4 linked regions of the Drosophila melanogaster genome follow. The gene in region 4 interacts genetically with the main gene of each other region. Each region holds a gene or a part of one and is shown on either strand. Other genes may lie near its edges.

Region 1 (8,133 bases), on a different chromosome or scaffold from region 4:
CATTATGTTCGTCGTAATGATGTTTCAGCACCAATGGAAAATATACAAATTAAATACAGCATAACAAAATTCGTTCTATTATTAAGATTATGTCGTTTGGTTTTTGTTTGTTTGCGTAATAAACTATTTTTGTTGTAAGTTGCTCAAAAAAATCAGGTAATGAAGCTTTGTTTGTTTCGTTTTGTTCTGTGTTGTGTATCGTGTTTAGTTGATATCTTAACTGATAATCCAGAAGTATTTCAGATGCTTAGCCATTGATAAGAACTGATGCTGCGCAAAAAAGTTTCAAATAACCCGAAAGATAATACATTCCGCCAAGACTCTCTTAATTAAACTATAGCTTAAATAACTATAGCTCGACATACACCTTGTTTGGCTAACATTATAAGACATACTATCCGTTTAACAATGTTTAACATACTTACTCATTGTGTTTAGCTCTAATTTCTTACAGTGTGTGCATACCTCTTGGGTTGAATATTAACTTTGATTTTTTTTTTGTTTAGATTTTATGCTGACGATGAGTCGCAGCGTGTGCTTCATATAAACCTGCTAGACTGCGTGTGTTCCGTATGCCTATGCGTGTATGTGTTGTGTGTATATATAAAGAGTATAGTTTATATTTTATAATTTATGTATATGCGCTTAAGTTAGATTCTTGTTAAAAAGAAACTTTCCTTTGAAAACTTCAGGTGTTGCTTGTACTGTCCAGTAGAATTAGAATACAATTACATAATTACACATTTATTATGCTTACGCGATTTCTGAGGGTCATTGGCACTACGTTTTGGAAATAAAAAAATAAAAATCAAAAGCAGAAATATAAAACAGACAAAATAATAAAAAATCAGATGGTTAGGATGGAGTTTAAAGTATTTTTATTTAAAATACAACATTAAAACGCATGCACGTTTGAGCGCGAAATAAAAACGTTACAACTAAAAAGTAAACTAAAATTGTTAAATCTATTTTGAAAATAACTTTAAATATAAAACTACTACTATATGAAGACATTCGATAACGTACAAATAAAATTATACTTTAAAAGGCTTGACGATAATTTTCAACAGTTTACATATGCACACAGGCTACTGCCAGAGGGCAAAACAAATTGTACGTTATATGTATGATTTATATAGAACTATATATGGTTATCAGTCAATGAAGTCAATGTCGGATTAGCAACTACCACGTCTCTGGACATAGCTAATGCTCTTTGTTCAAAGTTGCTTAGTGTACGTTTCCACTCATTTCCAACAGATTTAAGAACTCGGGTTAACATCGAATGAGTCGATTTATAATTTAAAGAAAATAATAACAAAGAATCGTTGGCATGTTAAGCTTTTGGCTTTTCCCTTAGGAAAAGTTACATCTTACACGACTTCTTTCGTATAAATCAACCCATTCTATAGCTGCTTATAATGGTACTACAAACTATTAAACTAAAAACGAAACGTCTTACGACCTCGACGATCAACTATCCACTACGAAGCAAAAAGCTTCAACTGATTTTTTTGCAGAGCCACAGATCCGCTGGCTGGTCTGTGGCTTAGTACCGCTTCTATAAGCAATTCGTAGATTCCTTGGCGTCGTCAATGTTGGTGTGGTTCTTGATTAGCAACTGGGTTGAGGGATACTTGTTTAGCTGCGCAAAGCGTTCCATCACACACGAAGAGCTAAGACGAGCCTCAGCGTCGTGATCCCAGCACTCCTCCATTGTGTCGCAGAATACATTAAGTCCCTGTAAAAAAGTTACAAGTTATTTTCATTGACTAAAAGCATTATCAGAAGTCACACTCACCGGATGGGCGCGCCAGGAGTTGAGCAAACGAGGGCGCAGCTTCTTCATTACCACACTCTCCTGAACTTCGTCCAGCGACGGCCTCAGGCCCAGCTCGGCCTCAAAAGGCAGCTGGAACTCACCGACGGGTCCGGCAAAGTCACACCGTGACACCATTTCCCAGAGGACTAGGCCGCATGCGTAGACGTCTATGCGTAAGAAAGCGTCTCTATTGAAATTGATGGCACCCTCAAGCACCTCTGGGGCCATGTAACGTCGAGTGCCTACTTGACCGTGTGTATCGCCGCAGGGCTTGCCTGGCTGGAATATCATGGCCAAACCAAAGTCAGCTATACAGGCCGTCAGATCGCTCTTAAGCAGTACGTTCTTAGACTTGAAGTCTCGGTGAGCTATCGATGGTTTTAGCCCATCGGTCTTTGATGCCGGGATCTCCTCGTGCAGATGTGCCAGTCCATTGGCCATGGACTCAGCGATGCGGCACAACTCTGGCCATGAGATCGTGTGCGATTTGAGGTAGTCGCATAGTGATCCGTTATGCTGGTAGGTGGATATCAGCCAATATTCCGGCTTGTCCATGTGCTTCTCAACGCCCAGGAATTCGAGGATGTTCGGATGGCGCATGCGCGGCAGCTTGTAGATATCGTGCTCCGTGGTCCACGATTCTTTTTCCTGCATGCGAAAGATCTTGACGGCCACATCCTGATTGTTGAGCTTGGCTTGCCACACATCACCGAATCTACCACTGGCCTTCTGTTCCAGCAGCTGAATGGGACGGTTGCTGAGCAATGGCGATGAGTTTGTTATCTCAGCCTCGTGCTAAAGGGTTTAATTTTGCATAATTAAAATTATATATTTGCGGCAACATCACAAGGATATGTACGTACCGTGGGTATCTCGTTAAAGTGCGCCTGCTTGCGGCGTCGGTAGAGAAGAAGGCCCATGCCAACAATGACCATGAGCACGCTGAAAACGGAGGTGCCAATGTAGATGTATATCAAATTGCTGCCGTCCTGCGTCTTCTCCTTGGGCACTGCAACGATACAAGGACACACACGGGAACGAACATTAAAGAGGGCTTTAAACGCTGCCTTGCCACAGGTGAACAACATCTCGAGTGGCGGCATGCACCTGCAGCTGCTGGGGTTGCTATGAAAGGCAAAACGAAAACTAAAAAACGAAAGTTCGCCCCCAATTTCGCATCTCTTTTTCCCCTCATTTTGTTTCGAGATAAAAGCGAGCTAGGCCCAAGAACAAAACAACAAAGAGCAGGGCACAAAAGACGCCCTGGCAGCACAGGGCTTCGAAGTCAAAGGCAGCAGCAACACCCCAAAAATAAAAACAAGAAAGGATGCTAGAATGAAGTCACTCGACACTTGTATACCTGGTATTAGATAACAGATACTCTCCTCGTTGTGGGTTAAGGCTGCAAGCCAATTAAGTATCATTCAAAATAGGTAGAGTCTAATCCTATTAAGCCTTCATAATCGGAGTGAAATAAATTGGATTTATACCAAATAACTACCTCTTTCAGTTGCATCCTTTAAAGCGAACGCATTATACCCGATCGCTAAAGAAGTACCTTACTATAAAAATAAAAACGAACCAGCGAACGTGCACAGGAGGGCAGAAATTGCAACACATGCGGCTCCGAAAAGGGGTTGCTGGAGGCTGGGGATGTAGAAAATGATGGGGGAGCGGGCGCCACTTCGCGTCAAGAGTTCGTTAACACGAAAAACGCTGCCTCGGATGCGAGGAGTGGTATTTTGTAGGCGAAGCCTACGCCCTCTTTTTGCAACTTGAAGATGCAGTAAAAATACAAAAAAAAAAAAAAAAAACGAAATAACAAAAACAAACAAAAAATATATGCAAACGGAAAAATAACAAAATTGGGGTAAACACTCCAAAGACAAAACCCCAGTAGCAGCAAACGTTAAACCGAATCTGAATCCGAAACCGGATCCGAACCCACCTTGTGTGGTTGCCTCCGTGGTGCTTTTAATATATTTCTGGTTGGAATTGCACCGCGATCCCTTGCAGCAGCAGAAGTGAATGTTTCCCTGCCGTGGCTCTGCACTGGTCACGCACTCCGTCTGATTGCATTCGTGCATGTCCGTGAAGCAGCCCTTCATCTTGATGCGCAGGATGCCTATGGGAACGGAAAAATTAAAATTAATCAGTATGCCTGAAACAACGTCAACTTCTGCACGGCTCACCCGTTGTCTCGTTGACCGACCAAAGGACATAGCAGCTGGGAAACTTATCCGCCTCCATCTTACAGTGCTCTATCCGTGTTTCACATTGCTGCGTTGTGTTGCACATCTTCTCGTCGAAGTGCTCGCATTCTATGATCCCATGACTTCCGGGCAAAATAGATCCATGGATTCCAATCAGACAGCAGACTAAATGAAGACAATGGGAAAATAGATTAATAATCTTTCTAGTTTTAGATTAGCACTGATCTATATTTAAAGTATATATTTGAGCAGTCCTAAAACATGAGTAAAGACTTTCAAAAAGTTAAAACGTAGTTAAAGATCAAAGTTAATGGAATTATCGGTTGGAAGTGCTCAAAGGGTGGGCAAATAAAGTCGAGCCTATTTGGGGAATAAGACTGAAAGGGAGGGCGCTCAGCGAGCTCTTTGTGGGCGCTATCCTTTGTACACATATCGCATGCCCAGAAGTAGCAGGAGTAGCGTCCTAAGCTGGGGCCTCTGCCATTGAAAGCCACCCCATTTGGGCACGGAATTAGCCCCACTGGCCACACACCAGCCTTTGAGTGGGCATGGCCCCAATGCACGGATATGCAGTGCACAGTGGGCCTGCAGTAAGGTTTCTTGAAAATCTATTTACATTCTTTAATTCGATTTAATCTGGGATCCTCATCCAAATACCGAAATTTTTGTTGATAAAAATTAAAATGATAATTCACTTTTTAAATGTGTAAATACAAAAAATTTAATTTTGAAAACGTTTATTGCAACGAGCCTGCGATATATTGATTGATATTTCTTGACCATTGGCTAAGCAAACTGTTTTCAATCCTTTGAAACACTTTTCGTCCCACTGTCCTTTAGGTAATCGGATCGCTGGCCATGTATGTGTGTGTTCGTAAGCGTGCATGCTTTATAGTAAAGTAGATACATAAGCAGGCACATTATGCACACAGAAAGGGATGGGTTTAAAGTGGCGCTTGTGCGGAAAAAGGAAACAGCAGCAGCAGAAACAACAACAACAACAGCAGCAACAGGGAAGAGAGCGCACTGCGCCACAGAAAGAGAGAGGGCTATGGCGAGCGAAAGAGAGGGAGGCCGGTGGAGCAAAAGGGTGGGAGAAACCAGAACCTGCCATACAACAAGTTCCTAATGCAGCAAAATCCATTCAAAGAAATGCTCAGCGCACACACACATGGATTAAGATTGGGAATTAGGTATCCGATCGATTTATACCGAGTATGCGTTTGGCGCTCAACATATGAATTCGTAGTACCCACTGTCAACAATTCTTACGATATTTTACTACATTTGTGTAGTACAATTGTTGGTGCTTTAATAGAGTATCTAGTGTATACATTATTCACTTCACAAATAGATTTGATTCCTAGCATTTACATTCGTTATACCTAATTTCTGAAAATTTAAGATGTTCTGATGTGTTGGTTAATAGGACAAAGCTATCACAAAGCCTATACACCCTATATATGAACTTTTCAAGCGCCATGTGATATTAATAAAGTAATAGCATTACGCACCCCATATCATCAAAAATCACACGCACGAATGGTTATAAATCGAAGTCGGCTTGCATTACAGAGGAAAATCGTAAGGCAGAGACAAAATATAATATTATGTACATATGTACATAATAAAGCGACTGGGAATTAAGGCGCCAATAAGTATGCACCCACACACTCGCAGTGCAATACATACCCAGCGTTAGCTGCGCCGTTAGATAAAGCAGATCGTATTTGGACATTGTTATCGCCTGTGCAAACTTGTTTACAGCACTCGTTGCGTATACGTAACGCGAATATTTCGATGTTTCGGGGACAGGTGCAGTGGAATGGAATAACTGGGTACTGTTAATATTATTTTGGCACAGAGTTCCTGTTGTCTTCGCACTTTTCGAGTACAGCACTAAGTGTGTATGTGTGGGTGGCCGAGTGTGTGTGCGGTGCCTTGGCAGCGATTTTGCTGGCCACACGCCGTTTGCATGCGCATTTCCGCGGGTTTTACTCGACTTTTCGCCGCGACTTAATTTTAAGCTAGAGGGGCACAGTTGAAAAAGTATATGCGCGCTGCACTTTTTCGTTTTTCGCAGGTCTGCGGGCCTGTTTTCAAGCGATTTTAGTGCGAGCACGTCTTTCGGTTCGATTAAATCTTTTTTGTCGCAACGGGGCGGCGATAGCGATGGCCGATAGGCGATAACTGACCAGGGCTGGTAGTGAGACAATAGAAATACTAGATACGCGCATTTTGCGAAAGGTATTTTGAGGTGTGCGAGATCTGGTCACGCTCACAAGCAATTTTCTGGAGATTTCTTGAAGTGAGTTTTGTTGCTGAGAAATTTAAGTAAATAATAGAAGAATCGGTCAACAAAGTTTTTTTGTGCATAAACATAAAAAAAATAATTGGAGACCATTATTTTGTATGAAAACAGACTTATTAACAACAGTTTTCACCTGTCAAATGAACGTTTACCTTTCACCAAACATGGCGTCGCTTTACAGTTTATTGCGTCTTCTCTTCTTTTCAGCCAACTTTACGAAGCAACTGAGAAATGACTGGTCGTGGAAAGGGAGGCAAAGGATTGGGAAAGGGGGGCGCCAAGCGTCATCGTAAGGTGCTTCGTGATAACATCCAGGGTATCACCAAGCCTGCTATTCGCCGTTTGGCTCGTCGCGGCGGTGTTAAGCGTATCTCTGGCTTGATTTACGAGGAAACTCGCGGTGTGCTAAAGGTACGTTCTGGCGAAACGAAGGGAAAGTGGTGAAAAACTGATTAATTTCTCGGAAAATTCACAGGTATTCCTTGAGAACGTTATCCGTGACGCTGTCACCTACACCGAGCACGCCAAGCGCAAGACCGTGACCGCCATGGACGTGGTCTATGCCCTCAAGCGCCAGGGACGCACCCTTTACGGATTTGGCGGTTAAGCACGCCCTCTAACCTCCACATAATAAATAACCATGGAGTTAACTTAACTACATTCAAAATACTTGATCCAATTGAATCTTAATCAGTAGTATTCAACGCAAACTTAACCGAACGCAAATATTTTATAATTTCACAATATACGGACTAAATAAATCAAAAGATATCACATAGAGAACTCAATATCATGCATATGTGCATTTTGACTTGGGGCGGTTAATCATCCGAAAATAAGGTCCAACAAACTCGCTTAGGGAGCACACAAATAATAAATCTTTAATGGAAATTAGTAAGACCAAAGTATATTTTTGTACATTTTTGGTGCAGCTTGAATTCGCAGATGGCAGGACGTGCAAAAAGGAGCAGGTTCCCTTTTCTACTGCTACTGCCCGGGAGTATGACTGCAAATTTAGCTCTCCCAGTGGGGATCCTATCGAATCGAGTTGGCTGCTTTGTTGTGGGTGTGATGGTGGTGGTAGTGGTGTTGTTGTTGTTACTGCTCGGCGTATCAGCCAGCTGTGGTGTCGCTGCTCCGGCTGCGAATGGCTGCGGGGATTTTGAATGGAGGAACCTAAAGTCACGACCCCTAGGCGCTCTGCTCCCGCTGCTTCTGGAGCTGCAGGGACATGTAGACATTGGCCGGGGATATGACATTTTGGTCGCCGAAATCGCCAGAGCCTCCACCACCGCCGGCATCTCCGTCGCCGGCCTCTTCTGTGAGTGACATGGACTCCGATTGCTTGCGCCGCACAAAGACATGCATGGAGGAGTATTTCGAGCTACTAAGTAACGTGGAGTCCGTCGCCTCCGTCTCGTAGTCTGAGTTCTCCAGCGTAACGTCCGTTGAGGAGAGTTCTTCGGAGCGGGACATATACGACGACTCCATGTGCATGTCGCCGACTGGTACCTGAAGATCGTCCTCAGGCCGAGGTTTAAGGCGCTTTTTCCCCGTTTTACCAGCATTCGCTTGTCGTTCCAGATTGCTAACGAACTGCGCCACATGTCCATCGCTGGCGCCTGGGACACGTTTTTGCACCAAAGCCTCGACCAGTTGAGATTGCCTCTGCCTCCTGTGGGATCCGTCACCCACGCCCACCACATAGCCGTGCTCGTAGCCCCGCTTGACTGGCTGCTGCTGCTGCTCATGCTCATAGTTGTAGACATAGGCCGTATCGCCCCCGC
Region 2 (8,306 bases), on a different chromosome or scaffold from region 4:
TTTTTCGTGACTGGTATGGCCGTACCATTCACGGATTGTATCGGTTAAATCGAATTTTTGCCATCCTAAATTTTTCGGGTCAACTTGAAAAGAAGCTCGGAAGATAATAGCCTTATCTATTCCCTATAAATAAAGAGCTTTAAAAATTAGTTAAAAAACAATATTTTTAATGTTACCTTCTCCGTAATATTGATTGAAGTTGATAACTGAAATACCCATATTTTTATTCTGTGATGTGGTTTATTTGCTCCCCATTTTCGTTTAGTGTTTAGTAAATGTTTTTCTGGCAAACTTTTTGCTTTTTCAATCCAAAGACTATGTGGCTTGTCTATCCTTATATGAATCTGAGCGCTTCGTATGGATAATTTTTGGCTGGGAACACGGCGGTTTTGGGCCGAAAACTCGAGTATTCGATATTGTCGATATTGGGTTCCTTAAAATAAAATATATTATGCCAATGAATAAGAAGACTACACACAGTCATATGAGCGAATTACAAAAAAATATATTGCATTGTTTTTTTTCTTCAAAAACAGATATATTGTAAAGTTTACAATTTTTGTACAGTTAACTAAAAATCAAAGCTTTGTATATAAAATGTACTCTTAAGCGTTTTGTAGGCGTTAGAGATGGCGGATATTGGTAGACATTAAAAAAACCTCAACTACTTCAACTTTAATATAACGTATTTAAATATATTCGTTTTTGTCCATATCGATCGTATCGATGTCAGGGCCTGTAAAATCTAGAAAGTTCAGATAAAAAATTAAAAATTTCAGAGAAGAAGCACTCTCACAAGCTACCACGCTTACACTTTTAAGAAAGCGTTTTTATTTTTAGTCATTATATAATTTGTTTTGCCAATTTCTATCGGTATGCCATACATACCGCCACAAGCCGGTTTCTACTGATTTGCCTAATGTTTTTTGGGCACGATCACTCTTTCTTATTTTTATTACTGTATATTACTATTACTATATATTAATATATATTATAATATAATAATATATAATAGTAACTATAGTATATAGTATAGTATAGTATAGTAAAGTATGTTAAAGGCAGGAAGAATCGTTTCCGACTATATATAGTATATATATTCTTGATCAGGATCAATAGCCGAATCAATCTAGCCATGTCTGTATGGAACGTCTAGATCTCATGAACTATAAAAGCTAGAAGGTTAGAAGCATACTAGCTAGAAGCATACCGATTGTAGACACCTAAACGCATCGCACGTGTGTTGAGCCAACTCCCACAAACCTCCGAAAACTTTTGAAAAAGTTTTGATATTTTCTCATATTTTTAGTCTGTAGTCTTGTACATTTTTTTTTATCGATTTGTCAACAAACTTTTTGCCACGCCCACTCTAACGACCCAAAAAATGCCGCCGACAATTTTTTTTTTTTGACAAATTTGTGGATATTTTTTCATAATTTTATTAGTCTTTTAAAATTTTATGGATTTGCCAAAAAACTGCCACGCCCACACTTTAGAAAATTTTTTTTAGATTTTTCTTTGTTTTATTGTTTGTCTTGCTAATTTCCACCGGTATACCAAAACACTGTGATCACGCACATCCTTTCACCAACAAAACGCCCAAGAGGCTCACTCCCTCACTATTAAAGAATTATACAATTTTTTTCTCATTTTATTTCCCCGTAATATCCAACGATATCCCAGCAAAATTATGAAATTTCGCGTTTGCGTACCCACTAGTTATAACGGGTATAAAATAAAATTTATATTTACTTATTTATAGTAACAGGTATCTGATAGTCGGCGAACTCGACGTCTCTTATTTTTTAATTTGCCCTCGACGATAGCGTTTAATCCTGTGTTGAATAAAAATCTACTCACCCTCTTCAGCAAATGTAATTATTTCCTGCGTATTTCCAAAGAAGTCTTCATGATCAATATTTTCATGATCATCAGCAAAAGATTCGTGATGTCCTTTCTGATTTTCATATTCTATGTTGTGGATCGCTGGCTGATATCCAATGCTAGAGCGACCTTCATGGTACCGGTTTTTATCATGAGTCTGAACACTGTAATCGTTAAAATATTCATAATCATTGTGGCTCATCTCACCATTTTTGCCAGTATGGGTTTTATTATCAATACTATGATTTATATCTATAGGATATGTAGATTTTTTTAAGGCATTCTCATTCATTTGTGTGCCGTTGATGCCATTAACTTTTCTGACCGCTCCGCTTTTAAGCTCCTTAGGACTACTGTTATGGTGGCTCTTTAGTTCTATAGGCATAGATGCAATTTGAGAGTTTATTTTTAATTGACGGTTTTCTGTCCATCCGTTTAAGAATGAGTTTTTTTTATCGATTCGTTCTAAAGAACGATTTCTCAATACTTTCCCATATACATTATTTTTACTTATATTGAAAGTGAAATCGAACGGGGATCGATATTTATGATGACTGGGATCCCGTTCGCTTCTCTGATCGGTCCTTCCACCTCGGCCATTAAACAAATGTGATCCGGGCGAGGCAAACGCCCTCAGCTTGATAGTCTTCTGATCTAAATTCTTACCACTGCTCCCAAATGCATTGTTTGGTATCATTCGTCCACCATCGACTCGATATATTGTTTCCCAAATAAATTGCTTTGGTAAAGGATGAGATACATTAGGCTTGTGGCTAAGACCAAGCTTTGTCAAAATTTGCCGTTTTATTGACTCCAAACGAACTTCATCGCTGGGTGCAATGTTGTTATGGGGTTGATTAGTTTTTTTGTTGAAATTATTGTTGGAATGGTATTTGTTGTAGATGTTGTAGTCTGTGTGTGGATTATCTGTGTGAATGTGATAATTGTAAAGTGTTATGTAAAATTCATTATATAAATTTTTGTTGTTGTATGGAGTGTTTTTATGTTTTTAGTAAAGTTTCATTACCCGATATCACACAAGTTTTATCGTTTTTTAAAAATATTTTTTTGTCTTGCTAGCATTATTATTTTAAGATTTGGATTTATTTTTATGGTTCACAAAAATCTCGAAAAGAAATAAAATCAATAATCAAATCTATTTATAGTTTCTGAAATCCAGCGCCTATGACCTCTACTGTTTTTTTTTGCAATACCGAGTTTGACTAGTATTGTACATATTTACGTCACTGGAGCGACATTTCCTTCGTTTTTACGTTAAGAACAATATATAATTTTTTTATTTTATGACAATAAAATTAGACGAGACAGGAATACCTTTCAAGACTCGTAATGTTTTAATTCAAAAATATGTACGAAATTAATCGTGTAGCAAGCAAATTTTTCCAATCCTTAAGATAAACAAATTGCAATATTAAGATAAAAACTCACCCAGACTATGAAAATTTGTTCTAGATATTTTGTATTTTTTGTTATTTACCCTTTTAAGGGGGTATGAATATCCCAGGCTTACTGCGGGTGGTCCTTGTATTAAATATTATTTACATTACTAGTGGTACAACATTTGTCAATAGATATTTAATTTAATCATTGAAAATGATTTTATTTTACTTAAAAATAGCACAAAAATCTTACAAATTAAATTTATTTTACAAAAAATTCTGCATTGCAATAGTTTTGGTACAGTACGATAACCGCTTATTTCACAACAACTCACATCTGTTTTATCTTAATAACGCCAAACTCAATGTAGTTTTTTTTAGTCTCAATAAGAATATTAAAAGATTACCCTATATTCAGTATGTAAAAAATTTTTTTGAAAACTGACCTTTATCGGTGTATATGTTGGGCTTTCCGCTTTCATGGCACAAGGTGCAGCCCTTGTGACTCTCCAAATTCGAAGCATAATAATTACTACTGCTGATCCCATTGCAATTTATAAGTTTGACTTCAAACCAGACGAGTCCAATTAGAAGCCAAATAAGATTGGCTCTATTGCGTTTAATCTTTGAACAGTTACGCATTGAACCATGAATCGCTGGCCAAGGTGCTTCAATTTCCCTCAAAGGGGACACCAGTAGGCTTCTCTCTGACTGACTAAATAGTTTACCTCCTTGTACTAAGTCATAATTAGTTCCGTAATTTGTCTCCAAAGACTGGCATTTGGCATCGCTAAAATTAAGTCTTTGCTCAAAGCCGCTCATATTATCTTGCATTAGATGATGAAGTCGCTTAGTATATCTGTGCCTGCGTCGTCTGTGATTGCGTCGGCGTCGCCTCCTTCGCTGTCGTTTACGATTGCGACTTTTACAAAGCACTCTACATAAATTGTTGGACTTTACCTGTTGGTCGTTATTTATGTCATACGATGTATACCCATAAAGCAACTTTAGCTTCGTCTCCGAAGTGCTACTGGGAGTTTCATTAGGTGTGGTAGGAACCGAGACGTGCACTGTCCTACTGCTGGCTTGGCTTCTATCTGCAACTCCAGACTGGCCAGGCACGGAAAATATGTCTAGGAGTATGCAGCTTGTCAGGAGTGTCGCTACCGCAGTAACCCACCGAGCCAGCACTAAAATAACCGCCACAAACCTTGATACTCTAAGGACTTCGAGGTCAGCAACTTTTTTACGCATTGCAGCGGGTTGTGGAAATGACTTCCGGGAGCCAAGGCTGTTGCAGCAGTTTAAGTTAAAGCAGCAACAGCACTTTACAACCACAACGCAGCATCCTTGGCGACAGCAGATGCATTGACAATTAAAGAAACACCTGCTGCCTTTGAATGGCGCCCCCGATTGCGAATGATTAGAATCGAAGGCAAATCGCATCTTTGATATATGGCAAGCGTGTAGTACAGGCACTGTCCCTTAGAAACGTGGTACAAGTATTGTCAATTTTATTTTTCTGGTAAATATTTTTTTAATCATTGCAAATCTTTTTCCTTTCCTTTCCTTTCTGTCGTTCATTTCGTCTGCCTGTTCAAAATACAAATTTTCGATTAGATAAGTGGTAAGCTAACTGGAAATTAATATGGACACTAAACAAGAGAGGAGGCTACAAATTGGCAAATAAATTAAAAACACCGGAGAAAGCTATAGTCGACTTCCCCGATGCGAAGTTTCATAATTTTTCAGGGATATTTATAAATATTGTGCAAAAAGATACGAAAAAGTTTTAAATTTGTTTGAAAATGTGGGCGTGACCGTTTCGCTCGTTTTGTGGCCAAAGTGTTTTTTATATACAAAAATTGGTTCCAACAAGGCGGTGCAACAGCACATACTTCAAGAGCATCGATGGCTGTTTTGAGGGAACACTTTCCAGAGCGCCTTATCTCAATTAGAGGCGATTTGGAATGGCCGGCACGATCTGTCCCCTTGTGATTTTTTTCTATTGGGTTTTTTGAAGTCCCGTGTTTATGTGAACCGTCCAAGAGCCCTACAAGATTTGAAAACCAACATCCAAGAAGAAATTGCCATCATAACACCTGCCATGCTAACAAGACTCACGACAAACGCCAGAAATCGGTTTACGCAATGTATGGAGAATGGGGGACGTCACCTATCAGATTTCATCTTCAAAAAATATGACATGTACGTACAATATAAAAAAAAATAAATTTTTTCCGATGCCTACAATAGTTTTCATTGAGTTCTGAAAAAGGAAATTATGCTGCCGCACCCTGTATATACTTTGTATGCTCGGCAATGCTCCCTTCTACATGGTACTTACTTTTTAACGTATATAGTATACCCTTTGATTCTACGAGTAAGGGAATATATATACGGGTATACAAATCTTAAATGATATATTCTCCGAATACTTGTTTACTTGATAATTAACCAGTAATTGAACCAGTTTGCGTTGAAACGGACGGACGGTTACGGCTCTTACTGCTAGCCATACAGATGAACATATATTCTTCGTGTGGTCGTAATTGTCTCCTTTACTGCGTTGCAAGAAACTGACTTAAATCAATATACACTTTGAAAGGGTACAACACATTAAAATTAGTCTAAACCTGACGCCGAGCTTCGGATGGCACAGTTATTATTACGCCAGAAATACTTCATACCATGCACCAACAGAAGCGGACAGACAGACTCATCCGTCCCTTCTGAAGAACTCAAGGCGACACACAGACTGTGTCCAGATGAAAAGACCTACGCCTGAATGGTGGTTACTTAGAAGCCTAGCAGCGGAAAGGGATGAAGAGGAATTAAAAGCATGCGTTCAACAAAAAAATTTGTACATATGTAAGAAGGAAGGTGGTTATGTGTATAGGCTTATGATCAGTGTATGTAACAATATGTATCACCTTTTTCTTTTTAGAAACAATAAATTTTCAACTAAGTAAATATATTTCTTCACGAGAAATATTAGGGACACTATCACATTTTCACGATTTATAAATGTATTATGCTTTTCCTTTTAGCACGGAAACAATATTTTGTATCTCCGTTGGTTGCTAAATGACATTGCATACTTTGTGAAACTAAGATGACACTTTAAGCTTTTCAAAAGCTTTCTTGAAAATAACAATATTTCAGCGTTGCCATATTTGCACCAGAAATATCTGTTGCCATTCAAATTAGAAAGAATATCGATGCTATCGATATATGCTTCCTTTCACGATTAAAAAGTCGGCAGATTCAAATGGATGAATTTCAATAACCTAAATCATTTTTAAATCGTAATCGTAACTAATAAATAAAAATGTTGTTAAGCGTAGATGGAATCGTTTACCCAAAATTCCAAATTAGCAGTCGATCTTGTGTCGATCTATGTGCGCCTAAACATTAACAGATTTATCTGTAAAACTTTACGTCCAATTCAGTTAGATTCAAATCAAGATATAAATATTAATATTATATTCATTTGCTAGTACGAATGCGAACGCAAAATTTCATCATTTTTCTGGGATATCGATATTAGGGGGAAATAAAATGGGAAAAAATTGTTATACCTGTTATTCGTGGTTTGCGGGCTTTATATTGGGCGTTTTTTGGCAAATCGATAGAAATTTACAAGACTAATAAAATTATGAAAAATATCCAATACATTTTCATAAACGTGGGAGTAGCAGTTTTGGTCGATTTTAGCGCTTTGAGTGGTCGTGGCAAAAATGTTTTTTGCAGATCGATAGAAATTTACAAGATTATTAGTCTTGTATGAAAAAGTATGTATGAGAAAATATAAAAACATTTTTCAAAAGTGTGGACGTGGCAGTTTTGTGCAGTTTGTGGGCGTTAGATGAAATTATGAAAAACTATCCACAAATTGTTCAAAAATGTGGGCGTGCCAGTTTTGTGCGCTTTGTGGGCGTTAGAGTGGTCGTGTCAACATCTGTCAACAAACTTGCGCTGCGTCTATGTCGCTTGAATCTGTATGCTGATCTCAAGCTTTTACGTTTACGTACAGTACATGAGATTTCGAGTTCATTCGGAAAGACGGACGGTCGAACAGACGGTCGGACAGACGGTCGGACGGACACACGGATACACGGACATACGGACAAGGCCAGATCGATTCGGCTATTGATCCTGATCACACTTTATATGGTTGGAAACGCTTCCTTCTGGTTGTTACATACTTTCCAAATGTGAAATTCGAGTAAGTATTCTATTATTTTGCTGATTTTAGTTATGCAAATCGATATAAGGAAAAGCCCAGCAGATAATATTTCTTTATCCTTTACTTGTTAACAAAAAAAGGGTAAACCGTACTCTCTGAAGAATATTTAACAGAAAGAACAAAGAGGATGTATACGTAACTTCACCGGAATACCTACAATTATTGGCTACATTTACTTTTTACTTCCTTCGAAACGATTGCATCAAACTAGAAATAGAATACGAATATTTTGTTGTTGGTTGTTTTCATCATATACATACATGTACATAGACATAACAAATAAATAATTTACGTTTTGATACAAGCAAAAGCCTCGTAGGAGTTACTAGAATCTGGACGGATAACTTCAATTTTTTGATATCTATAGTTTTATAGGTTTTGACTTTTATAAAGATGGACCGACGGACAAGGGGACTGACTGGCATGTATCGGTCGTCTACGTTAGTGGCACGGGTTAAAAAACTTTATCCAAGACATTGTTTTAATTGGAAGAGTATATAAACCTTAGTTTGCCGATATCATGTTATTCTGGTTTTATGTGCTATCGACTTGTTAAAGCCCCTTCTGTCTGTATGTATTAACTTTCGGCTCCCGAAAATCTCCGGAAATAACTATATGTATTATTCCGGGAAAGAGTATACCAACAAAGTAAGTAGTATAAATAAATAGTACATAACATAATATATACAGCAGTAGCATTTCCAGTACCTAGCAGCCAAAAACAACCAAAAGAAACGGCGGAAAAGCTGTCTCGGTTGGCTTGCAGACCGTGA
Region 3 (6,332 bases), on a different chromosome or scaffold from region 4:
ACACCACCACCAACAACAACAGAGACACAATCATATGCACAACAACAAAAACACGAATAGCACAGCAAAAACAAACAATTCGCAACAGCTAATAGATTTTCATCTGATGTTTCCTTTCTGCACCTTTCCGAGCTGTTCGGTAACGTGTCCGTTGTTTGTTTAATCCGGCTTTTCAGTGGCCGATCCGACAAGGTGGACTTTAGTTTACCTGCTTCTCTGACAGTTTGGCACGGTGTTTTTACAAAACCTTTTCGGTGAAAAACTGCGAGGCCAACGAACAGTGTTGCCAGATGGTGAAATTGGCTAAAAAATCCACGAAATTCAAACGTGCTCAGTCGTCCGCCAAATGCGTCAAAAATACTAACTACCAAAAATATATCGCAATTTAATCGTACTTATTGTGTGGAGCTGTCCCTTTTTAGCACATGCTCTCCTTATGGCTGACTTGAGATATTGCTTTGCAGCACTTGATGGTGTGACCAGCTGTGTTTTGATGACAGTGCTGCCCATAAAAACGTTTGTGGGCGGCAATTTTGAATGGCTAGCAAAGTGCCTTTGCTGCGATAAGATAAGCAAACAATAAACAAAGTGATTTCTTTTCAATTTAATTTGCACACTTAAACTTTTGCGTTGCGAATGGTATCATAAGTACTACCTTTTACGCCTTCAATTTAAAATAAATAAATGCTTTTGTTACTAATAGCAAAGAATAAAAAAAAACACCCACTCATTGCTAAAGCTCATTTCATTTTTAAAAGATAAGGACTCATTGTTCGGTGAACAAAAGAAAAAGCAGTATAAAATAACTTCTTCCTGTCACTTATCGCTGAATCATCTAAGCGTGATATACGTGATTGCAAACTGAAAACGAAGAACAATCCAAATAAACAAACACCCTTTGCATGTGTATTTTTGTGGTTTTTGTTTATTTAATAATAGATTAATTACCGTACACTTAACCGAGAGAGTCCTATTCGTAACCATACACACTAAATATGCACAGAATTTTGTTGCATCGTGAATAAAAAAAAAAATAGTGAATTCATTGAAATATTAGCAAAGTAACAAAGTAAAGTACAAAGCATTCGCACGGATCAATTACAGCAATGGAAATTAAATGGCCCAGAAAGGGTGTGAATAGATCTGTTTTTTGTGGGGAAAGTTGGTTGGTTGGTTGTTTCGTTAATGGGTAGGACACAAAGCAGAGTTTAATTGAAATACTAACGCGTTTGGAAAATGTATATATATAAAATAATGTTCACATAACAATTGTTTTTGTAGTTTTCGGTTTTTGTGGATTTTTTTTGTTGCCCTGCGTATCAGATCAATTTCAAGTTCTTTTCATGTGGCATTTCCTGCGGTTTTCCTCAATTCGTTTAGCTAACTCGCCGTCCATATTGTAAGCTTGCATGCTAAACACAAAATATATTTTATTTATATATAGATTTCTGTATAGGGGGGGGGCTTCATTCCGATGCATCCCGACCGGAGCAAAGTTAGTTAATTTTGGCCATGCCGTAAACATTCTCATCGGAGTAGGCAATGTACAGGAAATAGTCCTCCTCGTGATGTTCCTATAAAAATACATCGAACGTATGTGATTCGATTGCAAGGCTAATAATAATGGGCATTGTGGTAATTACCTGGTACAGGGAGCCCATGGTAGCCGATGTTGGTGGAATGACGTTGTTCACAAAGAAGAAGAGGGCATCCTCGGGACGCAGGTGGATGCGCTTGCGAATGAGGAAGTAGAACTGACCGACGGTCAGGTCGGAAGGCACCAGGTACTTCTTCTTGTCCAAATCACCGATGCGCGCCTTGGGAGCCTTCTCGACGATGACCTTTGGGTTTAAATAGAAGAAGAAATACAGGAGGTGAGTTGTTGTTGCGGGCTACTTGTGCATGTTAATGTGCGCACATTTCGCACCTGATTACGTGCCCAATAAGGCTCACATATTTGGCTACAAATGGCATTTGCATTGCTGGAAGCAAGTGTGCTCGAATACGTGCTACCTTGGAATATGATAATGCCGAAAACATAAACTATAGTCTTATGAATTCTGATGCTTGCTATCTAGTGTACAAAATACCTTAATATTAATTGAAAACTAATTTGTTTACGAACAACTATACCTGATTGTTATTGGCCTGACTCATATTATATTTAGACAGGAAAATGAGTAATTTCGTAATTTCAGTCAGTAATTTCGTAATGCATTTTGGAATTTCGTAAGTTGGAATGTGTAATTACACACACGTGTGTTTTTGTTCACATATTATTTTTAAGCCAAATTCAATGCATTTTTCAAGGGGTATATGTTTTGTAATATAATTAAGATTTCTAGCACCTGTTTACATTCAAGTTCACCTGTATCATCTGTTTTTTTTTGTTCATTATGCAAAAACACATACACATTTTACAGCATTTTAGCCAAATTGATCACCAAGACGACCAAGTTGGTCATTGAAGTGAGCTTTGTAACGAATCTACTGCATTTCCTTGGCTCTGGAATAATTGCTAGCTGGCCTAGACTAGACGATCCGTTCTAGCCAGGGGCTCATTAGTTAGCCTTAGCCAAATTATTGGCAAACTGGTTTGTCCAATTTTTTTTTTTTGGAACAGGAAGCGGGTGCCAACATAGTGAATACGAAATGGGCAAAAACTGCTTGTCGCGAATGCCACCCCTCTATACACTAGTGTTCTATCGAAATTCGTTATCGTCATTGGCCGAACTCAAGGCACAAGTATGAGATGTGCTAGTACGTATGTATGTACTAAGTATATTCTATAGAATTCGGATATATATGGATATGCTGGTGGTCCGAGCGACCAGCTGGCCTTGCCCCTCGCTCAGCTGTTATGTGATTTGTGATTTGGCACTGCTGCACTTGCCAAAAAAAAAAAACACTAAAATAACACTGGCAATAATATTTCGGGGGTGCATATATAGCGCACATATGTACATATTTGTACATATATACATATGCATATGCAGTCCGAATCAAAATCGAAAACAAGAACTGCACTTTTCGCTGCGATTGGGGCACCTTCAGCAGTTTGTCGTTTCGTTTCGTTTGGTTTTGTTTTGGTTTTTGTGAAAGGAGTTTTCGCTGATAACGTGGTGAAATGCATACATACATAGCAGAAAAACAACAAAGAAGAAGCAGAAGATGTTTTTGTTTTTTTCAACCTTTCTGTTTTCCATTTTTTTTATTATTTTTGTTTTGTGTTCAGCAGCGCATCTATGACTAATTCCAGTCGCACTTTGTGTATTTGCGAAAAACAAAACAAGCAGCGCTAGTATAAGTGTGTATTAGTGAGTATTAGTGACTTTTTTTATGCGCAGTACTCGCTCGTTTTGCCAACAAACAAACGAAATTAAAATCGAAAACAACTGGTTGGTGCACACACAGAAAAAAAACGGGGTGGTCAAAACTTTGCTTGTAACTAAATTATGATGACAGATAGATATATGCGATTTTCTTGCTGTGTAGCCAGAGGGTGGGATAGAGGAGAGGAAGAGGTGGCACAGATGAAATCTAGCACTGAAAACAACAACATCACAACAGCTGAGCAAGTGAAACGGCTGCTTTGTTCTCTCCCTTTTTTTGCTTTTGTTTTTTCCTGTCGACATCTGTGTGCCTGTGTGCGCGTGTATGCGTGCGTATGTGTGTATGCAGGGGGCAGAATTTTCGTTTGAATTTCTTTTGAGAGCTTGTCGCCTGTTCCCCCCACCAGTAATGCAAAATGCACTTTATGCAATACCCATCGCACAAATTTCCCCAGCCACCTGATGTGCCAGTGCAATAATATTGTAATAACAATCGAAATACCCAATATGCGCAGTATTGATTTTCTTCGGTGCAAACACAAAAAAAAAGAGCGAGAAAAAAAACGACGCAAAACAAACGCATACACAGAAGCTCGCACATACACACACACTCGCACGCATATATACACACACACACACGTCTCTTTATACCTATATGCATTTATATATATATTTTTGAGTACTTACGGGCACACGGTCTGGATATTTGCGACGGATCTTGTCGCCCTCGGCGCGACGCTTCTCGAAGGCGTGCTCCTCCTTGTATTGGAACTTCATGATTGCAATGAAGAGGTAATTGGCTAAGAAACGCAGCTTCTATCACTTCGTTTGCTTTTGGGACTGTGCCGAATATCGATGCGTTGCTGAGCTTGTGTTTTTCTCTTCTCTGTTTTCTCGTACAAACGGTACGAAATACTTGTGTAGAGTGACCGTGCGCAGCAGTTGACAGAGCGCTTCGGTCTAAAAATCGATGACTTGCTGGTTTTATCGATAAGCACTCGCACTGTGGTGACTGCACTCGCTAACTGCTGTGGCTAGACTGACCGTGTGTGACCAGTGAGCGCGCAGAGACACCAACCCGAAACGCGCTAATAGTGGTGGCATATTAGACAGACACCATTTGGTTCATGTATTCGCTAAATGTTATCGGATGCAACCATGTGGTTCATGTGCTCGCTAGCAGACGGCTGTCGATATGGTTGTTGTACGCGTTAAATGGTATACACACCTACGGTCACACTGCACATATAACAGTTTTTCGCCGCAATAGAAGAATCCCTATTGTGCCATCGATATTATCGATATCACTAACTGTCATCGATGGATTGACGCAGCAGGCGAGACGAAACGTTAATTGTCAACTGTTCCCTCTGGCTGCTTACACACATAAATACACATCGCACGGAAGAAAAACAAAAAAGAGAAGGATGAGCAGCCAGGGACACCATAAGATGTCCGGCGGCGGCAAGAAGGGCGCCATGGAGCAGGACTACACCGACGTGGTCGATCTGGGCGATCGCTTCTCAGCGGACATGGCGCGCCTCTGCATGAACGAACAGTACGCGGACGTGGAGTTCATCGTCGAGGAGGAGCGCATACCCGCCCACCGCGTCATACTCGCGGCACGCAGCGAATACTTCCGGGCGCTGCTGTACGGCGGCATGGCGGAGACCACACAGCGCCAAATACCGCTTGAGGTGCCGCTGGAAGCGTTCAAGGTGCTGCTGCGCTACATTTACTCGGGCACACTGCTGCTGTCCACATTGGACGAGGATTCCACCATCGATGTGCTGGGCATGGCCAATCAGTATGGTTTCCAGGATCTGGAGATGGCCATATCGAATTATTTACGCCAGTATCTGGCCTTGGACAATGTCTGCATGATTCTTGATGCGGCGCGTCTATACAATCTAGAGGAACTCACCGAGGTTTGCCTAATGTTCATGGATCGCAATGCCGGCGACCTGCTGCTGCACAACAGCTTCAATACGCTATCCAAGGTAAGTTCACAACCAATTGGTAAAGTTGGCACTAAGAGTATGTAATGCTTACAGGAATCGCTGGAGGAGGTACTACGGCGTGACTGCTTCTTCGCCCCCGAGGTGCAGATCTTTTTGGCCGTGTGGAAGTGGAGCCGCTTCAATAGCAACGTGGACTTCAAGTCCGTGGTTAGTTATGTCCGCCTGCCACTGATGAACCTCGAGCATCTGCTGCAGGTGGTGCGTCCCTCGGGCATCCTGGATCCCGACAAGATTCTCGACGCCATCGACGAGCGCAGCACTTCAAAGGCGCTGCCCTACAGGGCGGCGCTCTGGCCGGAGGAAAACGTGGCCGCGGAGACGTTTTTGTCGCGCTGCATCCAGGGAGAGTGTCGCGACGCGCTGCTGGATGGAGATGTGACCACCTATGACATGGAGAACGGGTATACGCGCCACTGCATTACGGACAGCAAAGATGCGGGCATTGTGGTCGAATTGGGCACGTTCTGCATGATCAATCACATTCGCATGCTGCTCTGGGACAGAGACAGCCGGGCGTACTCCTACTACGTTGAGGTGTCCGGCGACCAGCAGCATTGGGATCGCGTGGTCGACTACAGCGACTACCACTGCCGCTCCTGGCAATACTTATACTTCGAAGCACGACCCGTCAGATTCATTCGACTGGTGGGCACCCAGAACACTGTAAACCGGGTAAGTCAGCAGTGATCTCTTCAAACTTTCCCCATTCTTTAACTTTTTCCCTTTCCATTAATATATAGGTATTCCATGTTGTGGGTCTGGAAGCCATGCACACGGCCAAGGTGCCGCGTTTAGTTAACCATTTTGTGGCGCCCAAGACGAACGTGGCCACCGTAGAGATGAGCGCCATTGTGACGGACGGCGTGAGTCGCACCCGCAACGCGCTTATCAACGGCGATTATGTGCGCTACGACTGGGACTCGGGATATACTTGCCACCAATTGGGCAGCGGCGAGATCGTCGTCCGTTTGGGCCAACC
Region 4 (8,473 bases):
CATGAACAGACCACAATCGGAGTCACACCTGTTCGGTCGAAAGGCCTCAAAGTGTTAATTAGTTTGCTAATTAGTTTTCAGCTTTAATTAGTGCCTTTAATTTCGATGGGTGCTTAGTCATTTTCAACACTGTGATTAAAATAGATACTTGTTGTTTATATTTTATTGGGTTAAGTTATGAGTTTTGAGTGTAATTTTCAGCAACTATGACAAATTAAAAGTGTTTTTTTTTGGCGATGTATCAGGCAGTTTTCAAATAAAATTGCAATTTAAAATAATAAAAATATATTCACACATATTGCAGCCTCGATTAATTTTTTACTATGCAATATATACTCTAATAATCTACGTTTTAATGATTTTTGAAATTACTTTTTATAATTAAATCGAAAGTCGTGGGTGTTATCAATGGTTATCAAAATGAATATATAAAAAACAGTGTATATTTGTGTTTTGTCTGGCTACTTTCCGGTTGTCAACAAGAAATCCTCTGTAATCAGAAGACTTTGTTCTGCTGGCCCTCTTCTTAACCTATTAAACCAGGAATAGTAGAAATAGATTCAAATCGTTTCAATAACTCTATTTTTTGAGTTCACATTCTTAGACTTTACTTTCCTGATCTGTAATTTGAATCAAATGCTCACTAGACAGTCATAGAATTTTCCTGATCAAATGCAAGGCCAAAGTCTAGACGAATAAGGCCATTTATAATCAAATGAAGCGATGAATAGTTCAGAAAATATTAGAATGAATCTTTAGATGTTTAAGGTAACTTTAAGCTTGCAGTTCAAACGTGTAACTAAAGTCATAGTACCCCTATCAAGGGTATAAGCATCATATATTGTTGACTTAATTATGACACCAAAACACTGTTTTAATTAAAAACTGAAATTCCAGAGGCCCGGCCACGATAAGCCGTGCATTGTGACGTGTTTTTCAGCACGCGCGCCACATTTAAAAATTAGACGTTTCGAGTGAGATTTTGCCTCGATCCTGAGTATACAAATCACGAAAGGTATATTGTGCGATTCCATCGCATTATATTTGAGGTGAATGCTTTATTGTGAAATCTCAAGGTAAACAAAACTCGGAACGGACTTAATCAGTCGATTGGCATGAGGTTTGAAAGTGAAACACAGCGATACGCAATCAGAGCCAGCATTTAATTAATATTAGCCATTTACATACTATTGTCCTCCGAGGTAATCTCAAGAGACCCATGCTCGACGGGCGTGAAAACTTCAAAATTATGATATCACACATGGTAATCAATTGAAGCAGCCAGCAAGTTAAAAACAAGAAACCCCAAACGTCGTAAAAGCCACATCGTAAATTGGTCAAGAGGAAAGCGATTAGCTGGCCAAGAGCTAAACAAAAACAGGAAGGCATACGTAGGGTGGAGTCTGAAATTGAGTATACTTAGTTCATTCGTTATATTACATCTAATTGTTCAGTCTTTTACACGACATTGTTTGCATATTCTTCGATGATACATATGTACTTTCTTCTAGCATTCATGGTTATACGTCAATTTTAGTCATACCTCTCGCTAGTACCGCTTATTAATAGACATTGGGCCATCAAAAGAAAGCGATGGTATCGCTTTGGCTGTGAGAACCAATCGCCATTAGGCAATGTCGGCTATCAGGGAAAGTCAAAGGCAATCCGCTGGACTGGACTGCCGCTGAACTTTGGACCGGTTGGATCGAGCGATAAAACCCCACCGGCACGACGTCAGCTCACGTTTTTGGGTGACGAATGCTGGGGCTCGATCCTCATTCCCAACAAGCTCGAACTCACGAACGGCCATCGAACATGTAGCGCCGGCCAGCGAACTTGTTCGATGCTCCAGCCTCGAGCGGCGTGGGTGTTCGATGCAGGAGGCGATCGGATGGGAGCCAACCGGACCTAAAACGCTGCTGTGTGGGCCAGGGGGGAAAGCCACCCATTATCAGTGGCTCTCCCTGCTCTCCCTCTCTCTCTCTCTGTCGCACTTGCTGGAAGCAAAGTAGAATTGCGCATCGCTTAAAACGCAGAGCAGCGGAGTGCGCCAATGATCGGCGGCGTGTCTGTTATCAAACAAACTGAAACTCAACTGTCTGCCGCCCGAAGAGTGGGCCATACCCATACCCATACCCATACCCAGGCCCATACTCACACCCATACCGCTCCCCACAGATACCGTTAGTCGTACCGCTCCAGGCTTTTGTGGCCGCTGCGCCGCCCATCGTCGAATTATTCACACGCAGACGTTCCCAACGATCGGATCGAAAATTATTCAAATCGTGCAAATCGTACATGAAACTTGGTGTGAACGAATAATACTTTATGTTTCTTCAAAACATTTGTTTTTGCTCAGCGAAATATCAGCTCGTCATTTTGAGGAAATCAAGTTCAAGTGGTGAAATTCAAAACAATAATGAGTTTGCGAAAGTGATTTGCGAAAACAAATAAACGGACAATCGATTGTAGAATCACTCAAGGACATTTGATAAGCATCCCTTTTCGCAGAAGATTGCAAACAATGTGCTAAGTTATTCAAGCATTTTGACAATGGATTATTAATTTGGGTGAGTTACATAACACAAGGGCTTATTGTGTAAGAAGTTTAAATAAAAGTGCCAAAAATGTGAATTATGGAATCAGCCTCAACATGGGATACTAGAAATTGTATATTTTTTTTAGCAGTCTAATGCTCAATATCAGTTATTACCAAATCGCAGGGAAGTTTCTAGTTTCGCTTTTGGAATATCATGCCGTAATTAAAAACTAATCATGCAGTGAATGGTTTATCGATCAGAGGCCTATCTATCACCGATTGATTGATTGATAGTTTTCGAGCCTATAACCCAGGCGCATAACCTCCAAAAGCTCTTGGCGAATTTCGGCCACGTCGAGAGTCATTGGCCAAATTTAGTTGCTACCAATGATGATCTTATTTAATCCTGCACTTGATTTATGGTAGCATCGCCGATGAGCGTGTGGCGAGAAAAGTATTATGGCAGATTAATTTGCGACGCTTCGGGCCTCTGGCTTCTGGCAATCGGGGCAATCTCCGTGAGCGGTTCCAAAGTCCAGATCGTGGCATGCTCCCAACCGCTGATCGGCGAGAACGGCGTGATCGCCGTGATTTATTGCCAAAAACCGATGGAAGCAGCCGTGTTTTTGTCGCAGTGCATTCAACTGCTGCGCGCGAAGAAGAAATGCAAGTGATAATTGCCGGCAATTACGATAGCCCCACTCCAAGTCCGAGTCCCAGCCCCACATCCAGTCCCAGCTGCCCCGTAATTAATGCGAAAATGATACGGGCAGGCCCATGGAAAACCCCCAAGCAGAGTCGCTTAGTCAAGAAGCCATCTCCATCAAGCGGCTGTACTTTGCACCTCCAATCGACGCATCGCCAGACCCCCAACTCCCCATTCACAGGCACAGCAGTTTTTTGCTCCGATTTGCATCGACATGGCAACCGCGGAGTCTTCACTACAGCTTTTGCTTCTGATCACGCGCTGGTGGCGTGCTCGATGACGTAGCCATGACTGCCGGGCGTTAAATGACCTTCTTCAACTTCTGTCCCCCTTCCCAGCGGCACCCCTTTTCCGCGGGCCCCCATCACATCGCAGTCGCACGCCTCGGCTTCGATTCCTGCCTTTGATAAGTCGGTCAGTCAAGTCAGTCATTAAGTCCAGTGCAGTGCGGACAGCTCGAGTTACGTCAAAAACGAAGAGTACGTACAAAACGTGTCACATGTCGCGTGTGTGCTACAATCCAAGCCCTGCTTCCTGATCCGATCCCCATCCATTCTATCAGATCCCATCCCATCCGATCTGATCCGTCATTATGTGGCCCCCAGTCGCTTTAATCGACGTCAGGTTGGTTGTGTTGGAAAAAACAAAATGGAGCAGATTTTGGAACGTGGCAATCTACGTAGGTTGTGGAAAAATATGCGATGAGTTGATAAGTGGTGCGACATATGCTGAAGGCCAGGACGTCATTTAAATTGGAAAAGGGCCACTGGAAAAGTGTAATACCTTATGTAACTTATGGGAACACGTAAAACTAAACTTAATTGTGCAAGTCAAAGGTGTCATAATCTAATATGAAATTGGGGAGTATGCAATACTTATAGTTGTTTATTGTATTATTTCCTAACAAGAACCCCTATTAATTTGCTTTTGCTTAAGCCGCACCAACAATGTTGCCAGAATTCGCTGAGGCCTACAAAATTTCTATCAATTAAACGGACCTTCTCCTCCGTATAGTATAGATCATTTCTATTCGTCTCGATGATCTAATTGGGTTCAGAAAAATCACAGTTCGTGACAAGCGAATCGGGCACGTGTTCAGCATTTAAGGCTAAATCGAATAGGCGGTATAATATAACTCGTGATCTGCCGGCCTTCAAAATACTTTTCTTGACCTTACTCGACTGCTTCACATTTAGCCGAGACCAGAAATTCTGGCTGATGAAATTCCCAACCGAAATACTCATGAATTTCCCATTCGCATTTAAATTGGAAAACAGACACACTATGTATTTGAAATGCGCATCTATTAACCGAATCCGATTAGGATTGCCCAGAATCGCATGCTAAGCGTACTTAATTGGTTAAATGCCGCACTACATATTCCATGCTCCCGATTTGTGGACCAAAAGTGGGAAACCGCCCCTTATCAGCAACGTGTTCACTATTAATTGATTGACACACAATCGAGTCGGATCATCAAAGTCAAGCTTGATAACGCTGCGGGGTAATTAGCATGAATGGGCCACTCGACTCGATTCGATTCGATTCGATTCGGTTTGAAGCGATCATAAATTCACTTGATATCAAAATGCCCCATTGTGGCCAAGCGAGTGCCAAAAATGCCAACAGATAGTGACGCCGCCAACTGGGGGCGTGGCATTGTCAGGGTGGCGGGAGGTTAAAAATAAAATTGCAATTAAGAATTTTATGCAATTCGGTGGCTTGGCGTTTTCAAGAAGCTGATGCAATGCTGCACCCCACTTGCATATCCAATTGTCTTCGGCTAAAGAGAGAGCGCCATGTAGCCATAACCATGGTCTATAGTCATAAATCGAGACCCGAACCGCTCGGCTTGGATCCGAGTCCGCAACCGATACGAAACGATCCGTCAGATACGATGCGATTCGAGTGGTTCGGATTGTTTCGGTTCGGTTCGGTTCGGTTCGGCTGGCGCTCGCGGAACGATCAATCAAACGCTCGGCGATCGTCACATAAATTGTTCTACTAATCAGCCAACCGCTTCATTCATTCACAACTCGTTTGCGCTGCCGCATGTCGGAAGAGAAAGAAGCACCATACTATATCATAGACCATACCACAAGTGGAATACTATATAGACGCGCGATCCCAGCTATAGCTAAAGGCCCGTGCCACTCGTGTTTCGTGTCCGGGTTCAAAGTTAATGCCGCAACCCCCGCCGGATTCATCCGGCTGAGCAGATTCAGATCCCATTGGAGCAAATCGGAGTGTGCTCACCACGGTACGTGTGGGGTCCACGTCCACCTAATTGCCATCTAATTGAGCCCGCTTATCAGCGGATCTGCGCAACTACGCTTTCGATTTGAGTCGCACTTGGGGCAAATAGCCCATGTGATAATGTGAAATTGAATACTGAACTAAACTAAATCTTCCCGGAATTAATGTCAAAAAAACGATTTGCACTTTGCCACCTGCCAATTCGAGCTCAACGATATGGAATAAATGATGCAATTTGGTGCAAAAATTAAGCGAGACTTCGGGCTTAGTGAGTGATAGTGATAAATGCACCTGATCCGCTGGCATATTAAATTGCATTTTAATTGGGGCAGCGCGTTCGCAAATATTTATGAGAAAATTTAGGGCATAGCTGTTTTAATTTATTTGATTAATAATCGGAATGTGCTTACAATATTAACTAAGTTACAAATTTCTTCTTATTTGCAGACGAAACTTAACGAAAAGTTTAAAATATTGAACATGCATCATTCAAGCGTATAAGTCGTTGTTATATAAAATCATAAAAAACGCATAAACGTTTTAAAAGTGCTTAAACAAGGCTATAAAACGGCAACAATAAGTGAAACCAGCTGCAATTCTATGAGTTTTGTAAACCTGAAAGCCGGAAAAATTGATGTTTTAATGCTGCCAAACAGATAGCAATCAGCCCCAGCCGACAAAACAAGAGTGAAACCAAAGGCGATCCAGAAGATCATAAGATACATATAAAATATCTCACAGTTAAAAAAAAAGAGAAGTCATAAGTACATATTCAGAAATGGCCAAGTACTTTATAGCCCTGGTGTTGCTGGTGTGTCTGGCCCTGGAGAACAGGAACGTATACAATCGCCTGCACGCCCGCTCCCATCCGAGTTCCCGTGGCGACATCCTTCGTCCGCATCCTAAGCACCAGCCGCATCCCCATGTGCAGCACACCTCGCAACAGCTGCAGCAGCAACACCATATCCGGCAGCAACGATCCCGTCAGCTGAAACACCTGGAACCGGATCCGACCAGCGAGGAGGACGATGTACCGATCACCAAGCGGGAGTACTATGCCCGCCTGAGGCGCCACGTCATCCACAAGAGGCAGCACCTCCTGCAGCAGGAGCTCAGCTACAACCATCCCGGCTCCCATTCGGAGCAGCTAAAGGTGCCCCGCCTGTGGCAACACCTCATGGAGCAGGAGGAGAAGGCACACCGACATGTGAGCCCGCCCGTGGAGTTGCCTATCATGTACGGAGATGCCCCCGAGGAGTCATCCCTCTCCTCCGATGATCACTTTGATGATCTGTCGCCGCTGGACTTTGTGCGCAACGAACTGATGGCCGAGGACCAGCAGAATCAGGAGAAGGATCTCGATCTCGATCTGGACCTAGATCAGCAGCCGGAAACGCCCATAGAGCCAGAGCTCCCATTGGGTGAGAGGAACATCACCATTTCGGTGAAGTCCAGCGCCGGAGGATGCCCCAAGTGCGAGAGCAATCGCCAAGTGGAGCACATCACCGAGGAGCAGCTGACCCACTTACGCATCGAGTTCGTTAAGCAGCAGATCCTGGAGAAGCTGCGCCTCAAGGAGAGCCCCAAGGTGTCGGCCGTGGAGCTGCCCAAGCCCATCTTCGACGGGATGACACTCTCCCATCCGGACGATAGCACCAAGAACAAGGAGCTGGACGATTACTACGCTCGCACTAGCAAGAAGTTCATACTGCTCAATAGAGGTAAGCAAATCTAGATTTAAGCACTAGAAAGTAAAGATTGAAGCTTAACTTCAAAGGGAATCCTTTTACCATTCTGATTTTGCTAACACAACCCTTTATCCTTTATTTTTACAGAGGAGGTCGAGTGCAACCGAGCGAGAGATGGAAAATCCAATCCGTCCATGTGCTTCACCTTCAAGATAGACGACGCAGATGCCGAGGGCTTCGACGTGAGCACCGCCGTCCTGTGGCTCTTCAAGAACAAACAGAACCGCACCGACACGGCATCGGTGAACAGCACCAGTGCCCAGCAGACGATCGTAGTCTCCGAGGTGGAGGTGGATCAGCAGAAGGACTCCAAGTATTTGTCGGCGGCCAAGACCATAGCCATCCAGTCGGTGAATGTGCAAGGTGGGTACACATAGTATACATTAGTATAGCATAAACACTCATCCCCCCAGAGCGTAATCATGCCCAGAAAAGAATCGCACACGTTTGGACCTTTGGTCGGCAGCCGCGGAACGGCCAAAACTGACCCTCAATACCCTCGGGGGACAAATCAAAATATGTGACATGTCTATACTAGATGGGTATTATAAAAATTATAAAGAACGCCGATAAGTGCCAACGTTGACAACCGCTTGTTTGTGTTTTCAATTAGACAGATCATTGCGCAGATTCGTGATAGCACTGCTTGATAGCTCGGCTCGAATCTGAAATTCATGTGGGTGAATAACTTGACAAAGCATTATTCGTGGGTGCAAAAACTGAACTTTGGCCACAACCCAGCACAGTTGTGAGTTCCTGGGGTCAGTTACCAGATAAGAAAGATGGGATCTACGATTCTGGGAGAAGAGAAGATGGCTCTGTGGAACCCCCAACTAACCGCTCTGCCTTTCCTTTCGCATACTTTCAGATGAGTGGATGAAGATCGACATTGAGTGGCCCATCAAACACTGGATCAGTGGCCACGAGCTGAGCCACCTCATCCAAATCACCTGCGGTGGCTGCGATGTCAGCGACATGGAGGAGATCATTTCGGTGGACAAGGATTACCGGCCATTCATCGTGATCGACATGCAGAACAGGCGGCGCAAGAGTCGCCAGAAGCGCAGCATCAACTGCTCCAGCGGAATGACCGAGTGCTGTCGGGAGCACCTGTACATATCATTCCGGGACATCGGCTGGAGCAACTGGATCCTGAAGCCGGAGGGCTACAATGCCTACTTCTGTCGCGGATCCTGTAGCTCGGTGGCGAGTGTTACGCAAGCG

The links.
Region 1: of daw (region 4) and put, changing one enhances a phenotype caused by changing the other (phenotypic enhancement), as found in Drosophila melanogaster (one study listed by BioGRID).
Region 2: of daw (region 4) and Actbeta, changing one enhances a phenotype caused by changing the other (phenotypic enhancement), as found in Drosophila melanogaster (one study listed by BioGRID).
Region 3: of daw (region 4) and Atg8a, changing one suppresses a phenotype caused by changing the other (phenotypic suppression), as found in Drosophila melanogaster (one study listed by BioGRID).

The regions. Positions count from the first base shown.
Region 1 is NT_033777.3:14,619,473-14,627,605, forward strand, and holds the start of put (punt), read right to left. Parts: upstream 6,232-8,133; 5' UTR 5,774-6,231; coding exon 5,728-5,773; intron 4,201-5,727; coding exon 4,015-4,200; intron 3,948-4,014; coding exon 3,771-3,947; intron 2,832-3,770; coding exon 2,686-2,831; intron 2,618-2,685; coding exon 1,802-2,617; intron 1,742-1,801; coding exon 1,562-1,741; coding exon of another isoform or gene 1,550-1,561; 3' UTR 1-1,549. Other genes in the region: His4r (histone H4 replacement), read left to right, coding at 6,578-6,757, 6,822-6,953; CG7886 (uncharacterized protein), read right to left, coding at 7,538-8,133.
Region 2 is NC_004353.4:1,078,397-1,086,702, forward strand, and holds the start of Actbeta (Activin-beta), read right to left. Parts: upstream 6,401-8,306; 5' UTR 6,218-6,400; intron 4,878-6,217; 5' UTR 4,731-4,877; coding exon 3,731-4,730; intron 2,812-3,730; coding exon 1,861-2,811; intron 434-1,860; coding exon 177-433; intron 124-176; coding exon 1-123. UniProt on the Drosophila melanogaster protein: Controls several aspects of neuronal morphogenesis; essential for optic lobe development, EcR-B1 expression in larval brains, mushroom body remodeling, dorsal neuron morphogenesis and motoneuron axon guidance.
Region 3 is NC_004354.4:10,763,962-10,770,293, forward strand, and holds Atg8a (Autophagy-related 8a), read right to left. Parts: upstream 4,378-6,332; 5' UTR 4,110-4,377; coding exon 4,020-4,109; intron 3,346-4,019; exon of another isoform or gene 3,207-3,345; coding exon of another isoform or gene 3,192-3,206; intron 2,696-3,191; exon of another isoform or gene 2,417-2,695; coding exon of another isoform or gene 2,369-2,416; intron 1,842-2,368; coding exon 1,644-1,841; intron 1,575-1,643; coding exon 1,497-1,574; 3' UTR 917-1,496; downstream 1-916. Other genes in the region: BTBD9 (BTB (POZ) domain containing 9), read left to right, coding at 4,760-5,332, 5,387-6,025, 6,094-6,332.
Region 4 is NT_033779.5:2,803,032-2,811,504, forward strand, and holds the start of daw (dawdle), read left to right. Parts: upstream 1-2,229; 5' UTR 2,230-2,570; intron 2,571-5,290; exon of another isoform or gene 5,291-5,505; intron 5,506-5,948; 5' UTR 5,949-6,279; coding exon 6,280-7,222; intron 7,223-7,336; coding exon 7,337-7,612; intron 7,613-8,117; coding exon 8,118-8,473.